Caenorhabditis elegans: one gene and its partners. The protein of the gene in region 1 purifies or fractionates together with the protein of each later gene. This does not show direct contact. Each region holds a gene or a part of one and is shown in the gene's direction. Other genes may lie near its edges.

What was found.
Region 2: the proteins of gly-13 (region 1) and fbxa-12 fractionate together in Caenorhabditis elegans (co-fractionation; one large-scale study listed by BioGRID). This does not show direct contact.
Region 3: the proteins of gly-13 (region 1) and klo-2 fractionate together in Caenorhabditis elegans (co-fractionation; one large-scale study listed by BioGRID). This does not show direct contact.

The regions. Positions count from the first base shown.
Region 1 is NC_003284.9:9,293,135-9,298,374, reverse strand, and holds gly-13 (Putative alpha-1,3-mannosyl-glycoprotein 2-beta-N-acetylglucosaminyltransferase), read left to right. Parts: upstream 1-1,752; 5' UTR 1,753-1,782; coding exon 1,783-1,866; intron 1,867-1,912; coding exon 1,913-2,071; intron 2,072-2,246; coding exon 2,247-2,291; intron 2,292-2,338; coding exon 2,339-2,394; intron 2,395-2,445; coding exon 2,446-2,554; intron 2,555-2,603; coding exon 2,604-2,748; intron 2,749-2,793; coding exon 2,794-2,903; intron 2,904-2,958; coding exon 2,959-3,038; intron 3,039-3,285; coding exon 3,286-3,435; intron 3,436-3,479; coding exon 3,480-3,570; intron 3,571-3,619; coding exon 3,620-3,732; intron 3,733-4,166; coding exon 4,167-4,374; 3' UTR 4,375-4,718; downstream 4,719-5,240. Other genes in the region: B0416.7 (uncharacterized protein), read left to right, coding at 454-596, 731-827, 1,137-1,243, 1,314-1,365; B0416.3 (uncharacterized protein), read right to left, coding at 5,009-5,062, 5,115-5,239.
Region 2 is NC_003281.10:2,217,939-2,222,961, forward strand, and holds fbxa-12 (F-box domain-containing protein), read left to right. Parts: upstream 1-1,769; 5' UTR 1,770-1,858; coding exon 1,859-1,911; intron 1,912-2,635; coding exon 2,636-3,251; intron 3,252-4,220; coding exon 4,221-4,427; 3' UTR 4,428-4,503; downstream 4,504-5,023. Other genes in the region: srd-65 (Serpentine Receptor, class D (Delta)), read right to left, coding at 4,545-4,732, 4,781-4,859, 4,902-5,023.
Region 3 is NC_003281.10:2,444,375-2,449,216, forward strand, and holds klo-2 (Glycoside hydrolase family 1 protein), read left to right. Parts: upstream 1-1,834; 5' UTR 1,835-1,848; coding exon 1,849-1,936; intron 1,937-1,996; coding exon 1,997-2,516; intron 2,517-3,115; coding exon 3,116-3,260; intron 3,261-3,308; coding exon 3,309-3,450; intron 3,451-3,495; coding exon 3,496-3,625; intron 3,626-3,671; coding exon 3,672-3,874; intron 3,875-3,961; coding exon 3,962-4,161; 3' UTR 4,162-4,322; downstream 4,323-4,842. Other genes in the region: E02H9.7 (uncharacterized protein), read right to left, coding at 869-1,300.

The DNA.
Region 1 (5,240 bases):
TCTATTGGGCAGCCAAGCAAATTGGCAACAGTTTGAGTTTTTCAAACCAAAAAATTGTCTCACATTAGCCCTGCGCAATAGTAATTTTTATTTCGGTCTGTTAACCATTAGAAACATGATATTGGACTTGTCTTTTCTCCCGATTCTTCATGGTTTGACTGAAAATATATGTATTTCAATGATAGTTTTCTGCTATACACTATTTCAACACTCCAATTACAAAACAAAAATGTCACGAGATCTCTCATCATTTAATTTTTCGAAATGAAACGTAATTTTTGATCTTGCAACGATGCTATTAGTGACCGTCATTTCCATTGGCAAGGCTGGGTCATAGCTACTTGAGAACAAGTTCTCTTGAATCGACAATATCAATTACGAGAAAGACCACTTCTTCTCGCTCACAAATTGTTTTTATTTTTTTTATTGTTTGACATTACAGATTAAGAAATGATGAATCTTTCAACAGCTATTATCTCTTGTTTATGCATTGGAGTTCTTAGCTATGAAAATAAGTTTCAATTTACTGGAACTGTGTATTGCAAAAGTAACGCCCCATGGTGTGTAAGAATTCGTGTTATAGAAGTTGATACATTGTGAGTTTTATCAGATTAGCAAATGTTGCATACATTGAGAGAAATTATTTTCCATGGTAAAAATTTAAATTTAGAAAAAAAATTTAAATTTAAATTTAAATGTAAATCTTCTATGTATTACAAACACATTTTAGAGTCGACGACGGAGTTGCCTCAGTTGATTTTTGTTCAAATGAAGTTACTCAAACTTACGATATTGGAGGAGTGCAAGAAAATGATGGACTTCTGGACGTAGGTTTTAAAAATTGAATTGGTAACAAGTCAAATGATTAGAAGCAAGTAAAAATAGTGATTCAATTTTTGGCAAACATGCGTAAACGTTGGAGTTTAAATTTTTATTTATTTAATAGTTCCTTCATATCAATAACATTATTCCACAGTTTATTTTATTTTCCATGATTCTCATATTTTTTGTCAGTGTTAAATCACAGTAAAATACATATATCAGTTAAGCTGTTACGTAGGCAATAATACTAAAATGCTGGAAATTTTTTTTAAACTATAAACAATATTTGATAAGAATTCCAAAAAAAATTTCAGCGTAATTTTGAACTCCAAATGGTTGTATTCCATAACTGCAGTCGCAACACTGAAACTGTCTTCAAAACGGGAATCTGGAGAATTCCGCTTCCGAAGGCTCCAACTGTGTAAGTCAAATAAAGTTTAAATAAGCTTTAATAGAACTTTACTTTCAGCTAAATTCAATAATTTTTTCAGACACGCTCCTATTCGCCAACATTTGAACTTGAATACGAATAATTCACAATAATTTTACGATCTTTCACAATTTTTTTATTTTGCTTCTTTTTCGAAAATAAAATTCAAGAATCAGACTAATGTAAAATCAGCGATTTATACTTTTACAAAGCAATTACATGCACCATATCGAAATCTTGCAAAATACTGCATAAACTACGGGATTAGCGGTGGGGTTTTGCGTCCTCAATAAATAGCGTGTCACCCAGTTGTGTGCGGCATAGTGGCAAAACACCATGCGGCGGGTTGCATGGGGGAGGAGTCTCACCGAAACCACGTCAAACTGCGGTTTATTAACCAAATATTATTAACATTTATTGTTTTTCCGTGGTTTTTTTTTTGCAATATTTATTTGTATTTTTCAAATATTAAAAGGTATATTTTTATTAATAATTTTCAGGCGGATGTGTACATATTTCCACCTAAAATCATGCATGCGGTGACAAAAATCTTTATCATTTTCATATTTGTATTTATTTTATGGACGCTCTACGTAGAAAATGATATAACAAATGTAAGTTTTTATTTAATTCGAAAAATATATAAAAACCAAGCTTTAGAGAACCAGAAATACGGATAATATTGATGATTTACTGGAATCAGCGAATAGATTGGAGCGGTTATTGAAGTTTGAGGCAAAGAAGATTGCTGCGTTGGCGGAAGATGTGCACAAAATAAGGGCAAACAGGAAGGGAAAACATGTGATAATGGAAGAAATGGTAAGGGTTTAAATTTTGAAATTTCAAAACTGAATTCAGAGTTACAATAAATCTATTTTTGCCATGTGAAACTGAATTGATGCTAACAGGGGTTTCAATGATCTTCGAGAGTAACTGCGAACTCCAAATTTATAAAAAAATTTTTAATAAAAAATGTACCATTTCAAAATTTCAGGTTTCTCAAGATTTGAAGCAATGGAAAGACCCCATTCCGGTTTTGGTATGCAGATTCGGAGTTTCTTTTCAAAATAATTGAGTTCTTTCCAGGTTTTCTCCTGTAATCGTGCGATGGCAGTGAGAGACCATGTTGAGAAACTTATCAGGTACCTTTCCATAGTTATTTTTGCAATAATTTTTATTAAGTATGTTTCCAGGTACCGACCAAGTCAGGAGAAGTTCCCAATCATTGTTACCCAAGACTGTGATAATGAAAATGTGAAGAACGAAGTGAAGAAGTTTGGAGACAAAGTGGAGTACATTAAGGTAGATTTCAAAAATCTCTGTCTGCAATCTCAATTTCATATAATTTCAGCATTTGGCCGGCGATAAAGCGAATATCACAATTCCACCCAGTCACCGACAGTACACCGCTTATTACCGCATAGCACGTCATTACAAATTGGCGCTCAATCACGTTTTTGTTGATAAGGGCTACTCATCAGTCATTATTACAGAAGGCAAGGTGATCATTTGATTTCATTTTAGATAAACTAAAATTACAGACGATCTCGACATTTCGCCAGACTTCTTCTCGTACTTCTCAAGTACGCGATATTTGCTGGAAAACGATGAGAAATTGTGGTGCGTCACTGCCTGGAACGACAATGGAAAAGTGAATAATACAATCTTAAATTTAATTGACTGTTGCTGAAAATATGTTTTTTCAGCAAGAGAATATTGACATGACTGCGGCTTCTACGTTGTACAGAAGTGACTTCTTTGCAGGACTTGGCTGGATGATGTCTTCGTGAGTTTCGGAAAATTATTTTTACTCATCAGTCATTATTACAGAAATATCATGTTTTTCTGAGAATAATGAAACTAGGGAGTTATAAGAATTTTTCGAAACTATTTTGTCTGTCGAAATCTGTAACATTTTCGAAAGGCTTAACACTTTTTTCCAGAGAACCGAACTTACAATTTCAAAAATTACGATTTTAATTTCTGCAAAATGTTTATGCTAATTTTGAGCTGTGATTTTTTTATATTTTCAGGAAAACGTGGCATGAACTAGAACCAATTTGGCCTGTAGGATTTTGGGATGACTGGATGCGAGACCCTGCACGGCGTAAAGATCGTCAATGCATCCGACCTGAAATCAGTAGGACAGGGATGATGTCTTATGGAAAAGAAGGCGCCAGCAAGTATGAGATTTCTACAATTAAAAGTCTCATAAATCTGTTTACAGAGGCCAGTTCTTCAGCAAGCATTTGGCAAAGATAAAAGTCAACGATAAGTACATCAACTTTGGGAAGATTGACTTGGATTATTTGTTGCCTGTGAGTGGTTTCCCAGTTTGCATAAAACTGCCCAGTTTTCCTGTTTCAGGCCAATTTCGCGAAGAAAACAAATTTGGAAGTCATGAAGGAAGCCGTTGAGCTGAGCATAGATAATGTGGCTTCTTTTGTATTGAGCTCGGAGAACAAAGGAAAAAGTGTCAGGTAGGAGTAACGCACTTTTAAAATGGGCCTTGAATTGACAAACGAGGATCATGAGTCATAAGAAAACGTTGGTGGAATCTTTTTTTTTTTTGAAGAAGAATCGAATCAACGATGAAAGTAAAACCGAACTAAAATGAAGAGAAACCATTCAATTTTTTTTTTGAAAGTACTAAAAAACATTGCTTTAATCCTTTAACATTGTTAGTTAGTGAACATTATTATCCAAACGGATGAGAAGACCGAATAGCAATGCGTTGTAGTCCAACATCTTGAAAACTTCTGAAAAATGATTTTAAGAATTGTTTGCTGGCTTCGTGTCATTAGTTTTTTTTAACTTTTTGACAGAGATGTTTGCAAATTTTGTGCAACTTATCTCTTATTTTATCAACATACATACTGTATTAAACACATTAATTAACTGTAGTATGTTTCAGAGTGATGTACGATGGCAATATTGACTACATCCGGAAAGCTGACAAACTTCATATAATGCACGATTTCAAAGCTGGTGTCCCACGTACTGCATATGATGGAATAGTCACTTGTTTTATAAACGGAATTCGTATTTACTTGGTACCTGACAGAACAAAAGTGTCAGCATATAATCCAGATTGGTCGGTTCCGCCGTCGTTTGGAGAGTAGTTTTGTGGCTTTGATAATGTTTAAACTTTATATTTCACGGGTTTCATTCTTACCGAATCTAGTCGACTCTGGCCTGCATTCCTATTATTTTGTTCAACTCTTTCCAGTGAATCTGACATTTGCAGCTAGTAATTTGATGTGAAAATTATTACCTTGTTTCGAGATGTGATTGCCCTACGAAATTCATATCTTTTCTCAGCAATTGCACGTTTTATTTGCTACGTTGGTTGTTATTTTAGGGGTATTGTAATTGATTATCAATCTTTTTCTTTCCAATATGTTACATTCCACGGAAAAATAGTTTTTTTTTGCAATGAATAAACGAGTGAGCGTTTTGAAACAAACACTGAAATAATCAATAGAAATTTATTAGAAATTGTTTTATTTCAATGAACAATAGAAAAATACAAGAAAGCGGACAAGTAATGGTGTAACAGCAACATGCTAGACACTCGTCAAGAACACAGAAACCCGAATTTCAAAAAATGGAAGAAAACGTGTGAAAGTGCTTACTAACACAGAGAGCTTGGAGAAGATCACGCAAAAATTATGATTAGAAGTAGTCGAAAAAAATGGTAGAAGTAGGCGGAAACCATGTGGCTGGTGAGTTTTTGGTGAGTGTGGTATCTCTACGCTAAAACATCATACGGTTAGGTGACACGTCATCTTGCGAAACTTTTTGGTTGGCCTGTAAAGTGGGTGAGTGTGTGAAGCGGTGAGCCCGAAGTGATAGCGTTTACCTCCTTTAACATGTGTAAAGTTTCATCAACCTGTGAAATAAACAGAAAATCGATATAAACAACATGAGTAGTCCAAACTAAAGGGGCAAGAAGCAAAGCTAAAAGAAGACTGCAGCCGAGGAGTAC
Region 2 (5,023 bases), on another chromosome or scaffold:
CTTCCTCCGTTCTCCAAAACATTCACAAGAGATTTGAGAACCTCGTTTTTATTTCTTGTAAAGTTTTGCAGAACAAATGAAGATGCATGGTTCATTGCTATTTTCAGGTCCTTGAATGCCAACTCCATGAAATCTTTTTCTTGGATAATAGTCTTCCGTCCTTTGTAGATCACAGCTGAATCAGTGTATTCCAGTTCAATCTTATCAAACCGTATTGAAAGGGTTTCGCTCATAACGTCCAGCTTGATGGTGTCAAAACGGATTCCAAGCTTGTCAAGGGCGGCTCTCAAGCTTCGACAGACTTTACGGCAGGTTAGTCTGGAATTTAAATAGTTTTTGATTTAACACTGCAAGTAAAGTTTTAAGTCTAAGCCTACCATTTTAGCTCCGCCTATTTTTCAGCCAATTAACGTTTAGCTCCGCCTATTTCTCAGCCAATCAACGTTTAACTCCGCCTATTTTTCAGCGAATCAACGTTTAGCTCCGCCTATTCCTCAGCCAATCGACGTCTCAGCCAATCAACGTTTTGCTCCGCCTATTTTTCAGCGAATCAACGTTTAGCTCCGCCTATTCCTCAGCCAATCGACGTCTCAGCCAATCAGCAATTAGCTCTGCCTATTTCTCAGCCAATTAACGTTTATCTCCGCCTATTTCTCAGCCAATCAACGTTTAAATCCGCCTATATCTCAGCCAATCAACGTTTAACTCCGCCTATTTTTCAGCGAATCAACGTTTAGCTCCGCCTATTCCTCAGCCAATCGACGTTTAGCTCCGCCTATTTCTCAGCCAATCAGCAATTAGCTCTGCCTATTTCTCAGCCAATTAACGTTTATCTCCGCCTATTTCTCAGCCAATCAACGTTTAAATCCGCCTATATCTCAGCCAATCAACGTTTAACTCCGCCTATTTTTCAGCGAATCAACGTTTAGCTCCGCCTATTCCTCAGCCAATCGACGTTTAGCTCCGCCTATTTCTCAGCCAATCAGCAATTAGCTCTGCCTATTTCTCAGCCAATTAACGTTTATCTCCGCCTATTTCTCAGCCAATCAACGTTTAGATCCGCCTATATCTCAGCCAATCAACGTTTAGCTCCGCCTATTTCTCAGCCAATCAACGTTTAGCTCCGCCTATTTCTCAGCCAATCAACGTTTATCTCCGCCTATTTCTCAGCCAATCAACGTTTAGATCCGCCTATATCTCAGCCAATCAACGTTTAGCTCCGCCTATTTCTCAGCCAATCAACGTTTAGCTCCGCCTATTTCTCAGCCAATCAACGTTTAGCTCCGCCCACTTTTCAACCAATCAGCATTTAGCTGCACCCAATTCTTAACCATTCAGCGGAGGAAAGCAGCCCCTTCTGATTGGCCAGAAGTTGCTCAACATCATAGTTTTTTTCGTAGTTTTTAAGAGTTTCGAGATTATTCTGTATATTTTGAAATTTGAAAATGAAAAATTCGCATTGCTGTTAAAATGCAAAAAAACTTACCGTTCAATGGGCTCCAGCTTTTCAAAACATGATTGGCAATTTCCAACGGCAATTCTAGTAAAGTAGGCATTTTCGAAAGTTTCTTTTTTCAAGTAAAAACCTGAAGTTTTCAGTGTAAAATTTGAAGAAATTGGGAAGTTTCGAGTAAAATGAAATTATACCAATGTGTGACTGTTATCAGTTTAAATATTTTTTCGGGAAAAACGGATGGAGTCATACTTTTTTTACGGAGGAAATGTTTAAATACCATGCGTCATTGGAGTTTGTATAATAGAGAGAGTGAATAGACGTTTTTGGTTCATTTTTACGTTTGAATTTACATATAACTCCAGTAAAATGTCCAAGTTATCGCCAACTTTGCTCACTATCAGTATGCCTTTGGAAATTTCTGATGAAATTTTGTCAAAATTGCCTGCAATGGATCTGTAAGTTGAAGTTATAATTTCACAAATTTTTCCAAATGAAAGTCAAACTTTATGCTAAAAAATTTGAATTTCCCGCCAAAATGTTCAAAAAACATTTAATTTGAATTTCGCGCCACAAATTTTTAAAAATGTTGATATTAACGGTGCGTCAAAATTTATTTGTTCAATAACAAAATTAAATTTTATGCCAAAATTGTTTGGAATATTAAAATGTTTTAAAAATTTTAAATTTATTTTTGTACCCAAATTTTTTAAATATTGATTTTGGCGCCAAAATTTTTATTCTTTAAAAAATTGAATTTCGTGCCAAAAATGTTTGAAAAATTAAAATTTGAATATATATTTTTTTAAGATTAAAAACGTTTTTTTTTTTGAGAAATTTAAATTTGAATTTGGCGCCAAAATGTTTAAAAAATTAAAATTTGAATTTTCCGCCAAATAATTTTAAAAAATTGAATTTGAATTCAAATTCAAAATTTTGGAAAATTTTAAAATTGAATTTGGTTCCTAATTTTTTTATGATAAAAATTTGAAATGTGCTCCAAAATATTTTAAAAAGTTCAATTTGAATTTTCTGCCAAATATTGTTGGGAAATTAAAATTTGAATTCCGTGCCAAAAATTTAAGTTTTTTTCATGATTATATCTGATCTTTTCGGTACCAAATAAGTGTTTCCAGCTCAAAGGAGTCTTAAAATCTTTTTAGTAAAAATGCAATGTTCCAGACTATCCTGCCGTAAAGTGTGCAAAAGTCTGAGAAGCGCCGTTGACCAATCAGGAAACCATCTCAACAGAATCTCATTTGACATTTGTAATGATTTCGTTGCGATGGACTTAAACGGAAGTCAAATCAAATATACCGATGTTTCTGGTACTGCATACGTGACTTACAAAGGACGAGAAACAAAAATCGAAGAAGACAATTTCATGCGAGCAGCGTTCAACGACTTGGCGAGCGTATTGAAAAACGTGAAGAAGTTCGTTTTTCAGAACTATTCGAAAGTAAAACAACAAGCCATCACATCGTCGATAAATGATATGTTGGAAAATAAATGTATAGCCGTAGAGTCAGTAGTACTATACAACTTCCCACATGATGATATTTTGAACATCATTTCGAGTTGTCAAGCTGAAGTGCTCAAAGATATTGTATTATGGCACCGCGACGGAGTCGAGTTATCTGAAAGAATCACTTGTCTGGACCAATGGAAAAAAGCACGAACTTTGCATTGTCGGTTTTTGTTTTGTGATCTAGTACCAATTGAGCACTTTTTTCACTTTGAAGAGTTCAGTATTCAAATTGACAATCTCTCAATGCCAAATGCGATTAAAATTCGAGATGTGAGTTTTTCTGATTTTCACATGTATGTGGTATATAGTAGTAGTAGTAGTAGTAGTAATCAAGGGTGTCGGTTTTTCGTTTTTCGGTTTTTTGAAAATCGAAAAATCGAAAAATTTCGTTTTTCGTTTTTTCGATTTTTCGATTTTTTTTTTTTTTTTCAGAAATTAGCTTCATATTTTAGCCATTATTCTTCTTTTTAGAAGAAATGTGTATGTTTTATTATAAATTCAAGCAAAATTAGATTTAAAAAATCATATTTTAAGGATAATTTTCCGAAAATCTTTTTCGATTTTTCGATTTTCCAGAGAATCGAAAAATCGAAAAATTTTCGATTTTTCGGTTTCTGAAAATCGAAAAATCGAAAATTTTCGTTTTTCGATTTTCAATTTTTCGATTTTTCGATTTTTCGATTTTCACTGAAAAAAATTAAAAAATCGAAAAAATCGAAAAATCTAAAAATCGAAAAATGACACCCTTGGTAGTAATAGTGTGTAGTAGTATATAATTTGTATGTAGTATGTATGTATGTAGCATGTATTTATGTAGTATGTAGCATGTATATATGTAGTATGTAGTATGTAGTATGTATGTATCTAGTATGTAGTATTAGTAGCAGTAGTAGTAGTAGTATATAGTATGTATGTAACATGTATGTATGCAACATGTATGTATGTAGTATGTATGTATATAGTATGTATGTATGAAGTAGTGGTGTGTATGTATGCATGAATAACCTAATGAAATTTCTCGAAACCTTCTGAAAAAAGTTGCGGTGGTTTAAAAAATTACCGAAATTTGAAATTTGACCGACTTGTCAAGCACTAACTTTTATGAAATTACCATATAGCTATCTTAAGTTTTAACTTGATTTAGATACATTTAAAGTCGACGGATCACCAGATTTCGTAAATTTAAGTAAACCGAAATCAAGTCAAGACATCTTACTTGTATACCCAAATTTTTTTCAGGACCTCATGAACAAAACTACATTCAAGACCTGCACTATTTCAACTCACCATAATGTGCAATCAATTGAACTTGCAAGAATATTTCAACCGGACTATATGGGCGACATTGACTATAACATCAAATATTCTAATAACACTGGCACCTTCGAAATTTCTTTCAAATCATCACTTACTATTAGAGCACGGTTTGTTATTAAAAAATGCTGACAACAAAGGGATCTTGTTTCTATATTTTCCAAACGACCAAAATTATTCATATGTGCATTAAAAAAGTTTAATAAAAAACATGCTTCATTTTTGAAAAAAAAGCCCATTAATAATTTTTCAAGCAACACTGTTCACTGCTGAAACTCTTGTAGCCCAACTACCATCAGCAGACGGCTTCCGCACGAAGAAAGCCCGAACAGCGTTCCTGTACGGTGTAATGAAGTAAATTTGAAAAATTGGATCCAAGAAGCAAGGAAGTGCTCCTAGACAGGTTATTGTGTACTGAGAGATCAGGAATTGATGGCCTAAAGGTGATATATACAAATTATATTGGTTTGATAAGCTTCCCTTACCAGTGACTTGAATCAGAATAAATAAAAACACTACGGGGATATAACTAAGCATCGGCAGAAAGATTTGAAAGTTCAGGCCCTGGAAACCAAATTAAGCTATATAACAAAAGCTTACGCCTACAATAATCATTTTCCGAAACATAACACGTGTAGCGTCCGATGTGTTTGGGGATACATGAGGTTTAAGAAGCTTCATCGCCTGATGCTTCCAGTAGCTGCCGATCATTGGAAAATACAACGTGA
Region 3 (4,842 bases), on another chromosome or scaffold:
CCCATGATAGTTTTGTAATGAGGATTAAGCAATGTTGTTGAATCTTGAATAATCTGAAAAAAAAATCAACTTTTGACTAATCTAGTACTTTATTCACATTAACTCTCCAGTTCATTCATATATGCTATTTCATACTTCTTAGCCACTTCTCGACGATACTCATTCAATTCCTTCACCTTTATTTCAAACTTTGCAGGAAACTCCCTTTCGCCGCTGGTATCTTGAGCACACGAGAGCCCAAGGAATATCAGAATAAGGACAGATGCTAGCATTTTTTAAATGTGTTGTTTGATTGAAAACGGTTCCATGTTTTATACTTTCGGGTGCGATGGCAAATCACAACAAAGTGACAAACGCTCCTGGAAATAGCGTCATCTTTTCAATATTGTGATATATTTATATTTTGAATTTCAATGTTCTGACGTTTAGTTAAGGCGTGTCTGAAAATCCGAGGGGTTTAAGAAAGAGCCGACAAACTTTTGCGACGCGTACCTAAATTTGATCGAAATAACCATGTCCTGTTTATTTGATTATTTTATTTTATGTGCTGTGCTTTTTTTAATTGAATGAATATTCATGTACACGTTTATCTACAAAAAAAGCGGGAATTTTTCAAACAAAAAATGTGAAGTCAGCACCTAACTTCCAGCGATTCTTGCAGATCTACGTAGATCAATCCGAAATGGGACACTCTGACACACAGTAACGGAGACAGAATTCTGTTGCTCTTTTATGTGTCATCGAATTAAAATCGTATATGCTATATATATATTGCCATTACCTGAACTCACAACATAGTAGCGATTAAATGATCGCTAAACCTCTAACTAAACTCTACAAAGTAAACAAATTTCAAACATGTTTTTATTCAAAATGTAATCGCAAAAAGAACAGTACCTAGAATTATAGGAAATACAAACAGGGAAGATGATGCTTTTGAATCAGAATCTTCAGGGGCACCAGTTAAGCGGGAGGTAGATTGAGTGGTTGTCACTTCTACAGTAGTGCTGGTAGTAGAGAATGCCATAGTAGATGTTGAGGAAGCTTCCTCCTCAGCTGGTTTATCAGTAACTGGAGTTATAGATCCTTCCTCTTCAGATGATGCTTCCCCTCCATATAATGTCTCCTGAACTGGTGTTGTAGAACCTTCCTCTTCAGATAAGTTTATCTCTGGAGTCGAGGTTTCCGGAGCTGGTGTTGTAGAGGCATCATCAGTAGTGGATGATACCACAGAAAAAGCAGAAAAATCTTGAGCACAAGAGAGCCCGAGGACTATTGAAATAAGGACGGAGGCTCTCATGATTTTAATGTATCTTCTTTTGGATATACCCTTTATATATGTGTTTTATTGAATGGGATATTCTCACAATATCCTGACGCTAGTTTTATTTATTTTTTGTTTGTAAAGAGAGTTTGATTGAAATATAAATCTAGGTGGATTTAACAACAAAACTGTGAAAATTTTCAAAAAGGAAAAATAATTGGATATTCTTGTGACGTTAGTGTTTTCTAACATACAAAATGCTTAAAAACTGGCTACCATATACGTTATATTGTCGCTTCGCCTGTTTTACTTTGAAAGGTTATATCTCACTCCGTTACAAATATATCAATAGATAATAGACATATATCAATAGATAATAGATATATAAAAAAAGAAATAGGCAATATTTTGTTAGTTGATAAGATTTTAATAGAACAACTGACAAATGACATTTAAGCTGTCAAAGAAAAAAAGTATACCCAATTCTTTATTTCCGTCACCCCGCGCCCAAAGATGAAAAAAAAGTCAATATAGTTTCCTCCCGTTGGCACAAACGCTTATCAGTGATCATTTGTTGTTCCGCAATGTCGCTGGCAACTAAATTCCCCAAAAACTTCAAGTTAGCAACTGCAACTGCCGCCTATCAAATTGAAGGTGCCAAGGATTTGAATGGTTAGTTGCTTTATGTGATGGAGTTTTAAATTTTTTTTTTTTTGAAAACTTTTTTTTCAGGCCGCGGCTTCAGCACCTGGGATGCCATCCGCCTGGAACCCGGCCGAATCCTTGACAATTCCGACCCGGACCTTTCTTGTGATGGTCTCCTAAAGTACAAGGAGGATGTAGCTCTTCTCGCTGAAATCGGTGTCACCAACTATCGATTTTCCATCTCCTGGTCCCGAATTCTCCCGGACGGAACTTTATCGACTATCAACGAGGAAGGCATCAAATTCTACCGGGATCTGTGCCTATTGCTAAAGGAGAATAATATCGAGCCAGTGGTTACCCTGTTCCATTTCGACATGCCACTTGCGATATACGATAACGGAACTGCTTGGCTTAACAGGGAGAACTGTGAGCATTTTGAGAAGTTCGCAGATCTATGTTTCCAAAAGTTCGGGGATCTCGTGAAAACATGGATCACATACAACGAGATCAACTGTCAAGCATGGGGATCGATTGTGAAGGTTGAAGGGGAGTTCTGGTTGTGCCCCGAGCGTCCGGAGATTGAGAATCACAAACAGGCACCGTATTTGTGAGTTTGTGAAGAAATGGCGACCTGAAAGGTCCGTCGGCGTTCGGGGACCGAGTAGTTGACGGACTGAATCGATTTGCCGGCCTGTAAACGGCCCGTAGTCGGCCATGTCCGTTCTACAAGTGTATAGATTGATAGTTAGGCCAATATACACCACTGGCATAAGTTGAGTTGTTCCAGACTACCTCAAAGTTTTCGGGACGGCAGGTTTCACAGCTGATTCGTGTCGATATACGGAGCGTTCCCCTTCTCCGTAAATTGGCTGAAAGGCTCCGTAAATTGGCTGAAAGACTCCGTAAATTGGCTGAAAGGCTCCGTAAATCGACACAATGCATTTTTTGGGCCGGTAATTGTAGAATAATTAAGGCGAACCCTTCACGGTAGGCAGGCGAGAGCGCCTTACAACTTCACGTGATCAAACCGTAACGGGGGAAACCTGACACCACGTGTGGCATGTGTTTTTAGCATAAAACTCAGTCCAGTCACCTCAGTCCAAACTTAAAAACGAACCTAGCTGCTGTTGACCTTTGTAGATCACAAAGAGATTTATCCGTCTAGATCACACTCTTGCCGGCCTTACGACCACCCTATTTTTTCAGCGGCGCCGCCAACATGCTCCTGACCCACGCGAAGATCTACCGAAACTACGACCAGAACTACAAACCAACACAGCATGGGATCCTTGGAATCACGAATGGAGGAAGGTTCTGCTTCCCGGCAACCGATTCGCAGGAAGACATTGAGGTAGGGAAACTCGCATGTGCCCTAACAACTATATTTTCATTTTTCCAGGCTTGCAATCGAGCTCGCGACTGGCTATTTAACTTCACGATTGAGCCGATTCTCTCTGGTTCGGGAGATTTTCCAGTGCTGATGAGGGAGAGAATGCCGTTTATACCGAAGTTTAGTGAGGAGGAGAAGGAGATTATTAAAGGTTCGAGTCAGGGAAAGCACTTCACCGATTCAAAATTTTTTCCAGGAAGCACTGACTTCATCGGAATCAACTACTACCTCAGCTTCCTGGTTCGCGCGCCGAAAGATGGTGAGAAAGCTTCTTCCCAGTCTCAGCATGACGGTGGTTATGTGTTTGTGGAGGGAAAATGGGATAAGTTAGTAGTAGATCGTTGCATTCAATCAATCCCGCAGTTCCTTCAGAATATGCGGCGAAACCTGGATTCGTTACGCCCCTGATGGGCTCCTAAAAATTTTGAGATATGTCAAGGAAAAGTATGCAAATACTCCGGTGTTTATAACCGAAAATGGATGCATGGATATAGTCGGGCAGGACCAAGAAGATGCTTTTCACGATCAACATCGAATTGATTACATCTCTGGGCATTTGGAAGCGGTGGCGAAAGGTAAGAATTGTCAACTAGCGAAATGTTTATCATAGTCTTTTCTACGGAATCCTAATTAATCATTAATCAATAATACAGTTTTTTCAGCTCTCGATGAAGGCTGCAACGTGATCGGTTACACTGTTTGGACGCTAATGGACAACTTCGAGTGGGATGACGGTTTTGAGCTCAAGTTCGGGCTCTGTGAAGTCGATTTCGAATCTCCTGATAAAACACGGACTATGAAGAAGTCCGCGTACTTTTATAAGGAGTTTATCAAGGAGTTCAAGGATTTTCATGGGATTTGATTTAAATTTAATGTTGTGTATTTTGTATAGTTTTTGAATAATATGTACTACTAATGTTTTATAGTATTTAATGCTACATATTTGATATTAATGAAGTTGTGCAATATTAAATGACATATATAATGAATAATGTTGTATTCAATTAAGTGCTATGTATTAATATTAATGTCGAATAATATTATATGTCATGTAATGTTAACAATGTTGCAGAAAATTAAATGCTATGCACTACTTATAATGATGTGTATTAATTAGTCGTGTCTACTATTAATAATGTTGTATACATTTGAATGTTTTTTACTATTATTAATGTTCTATAGTATCTAATGCTTTGTATTAATGTTAGTGTTGAATATTTTTGAATGCTATGTGCTATTAATAATGTTGTATATTATTAAATGTCATGTACTATTATATTAATAGTGTGTTGCTCAGTGGCTATGCTTTGGGACTAAAATGCCTCTCATTTACAACCACTTCCTACACAGGGGGAGAACAACAGAGCAAGCGGGAGGATACTGGCAGAGGCGGCATTGATCAAACTATAGATAAGACATTTTGTGTGCACTGGACCACACAACAGCTATGTATTGTTTTAATGTATAGTATCTGATGATGTGTATGTACTATTAATATTGTTGTATTGATTTAAAGAACTACATATATTAGTGTCATAAAGTA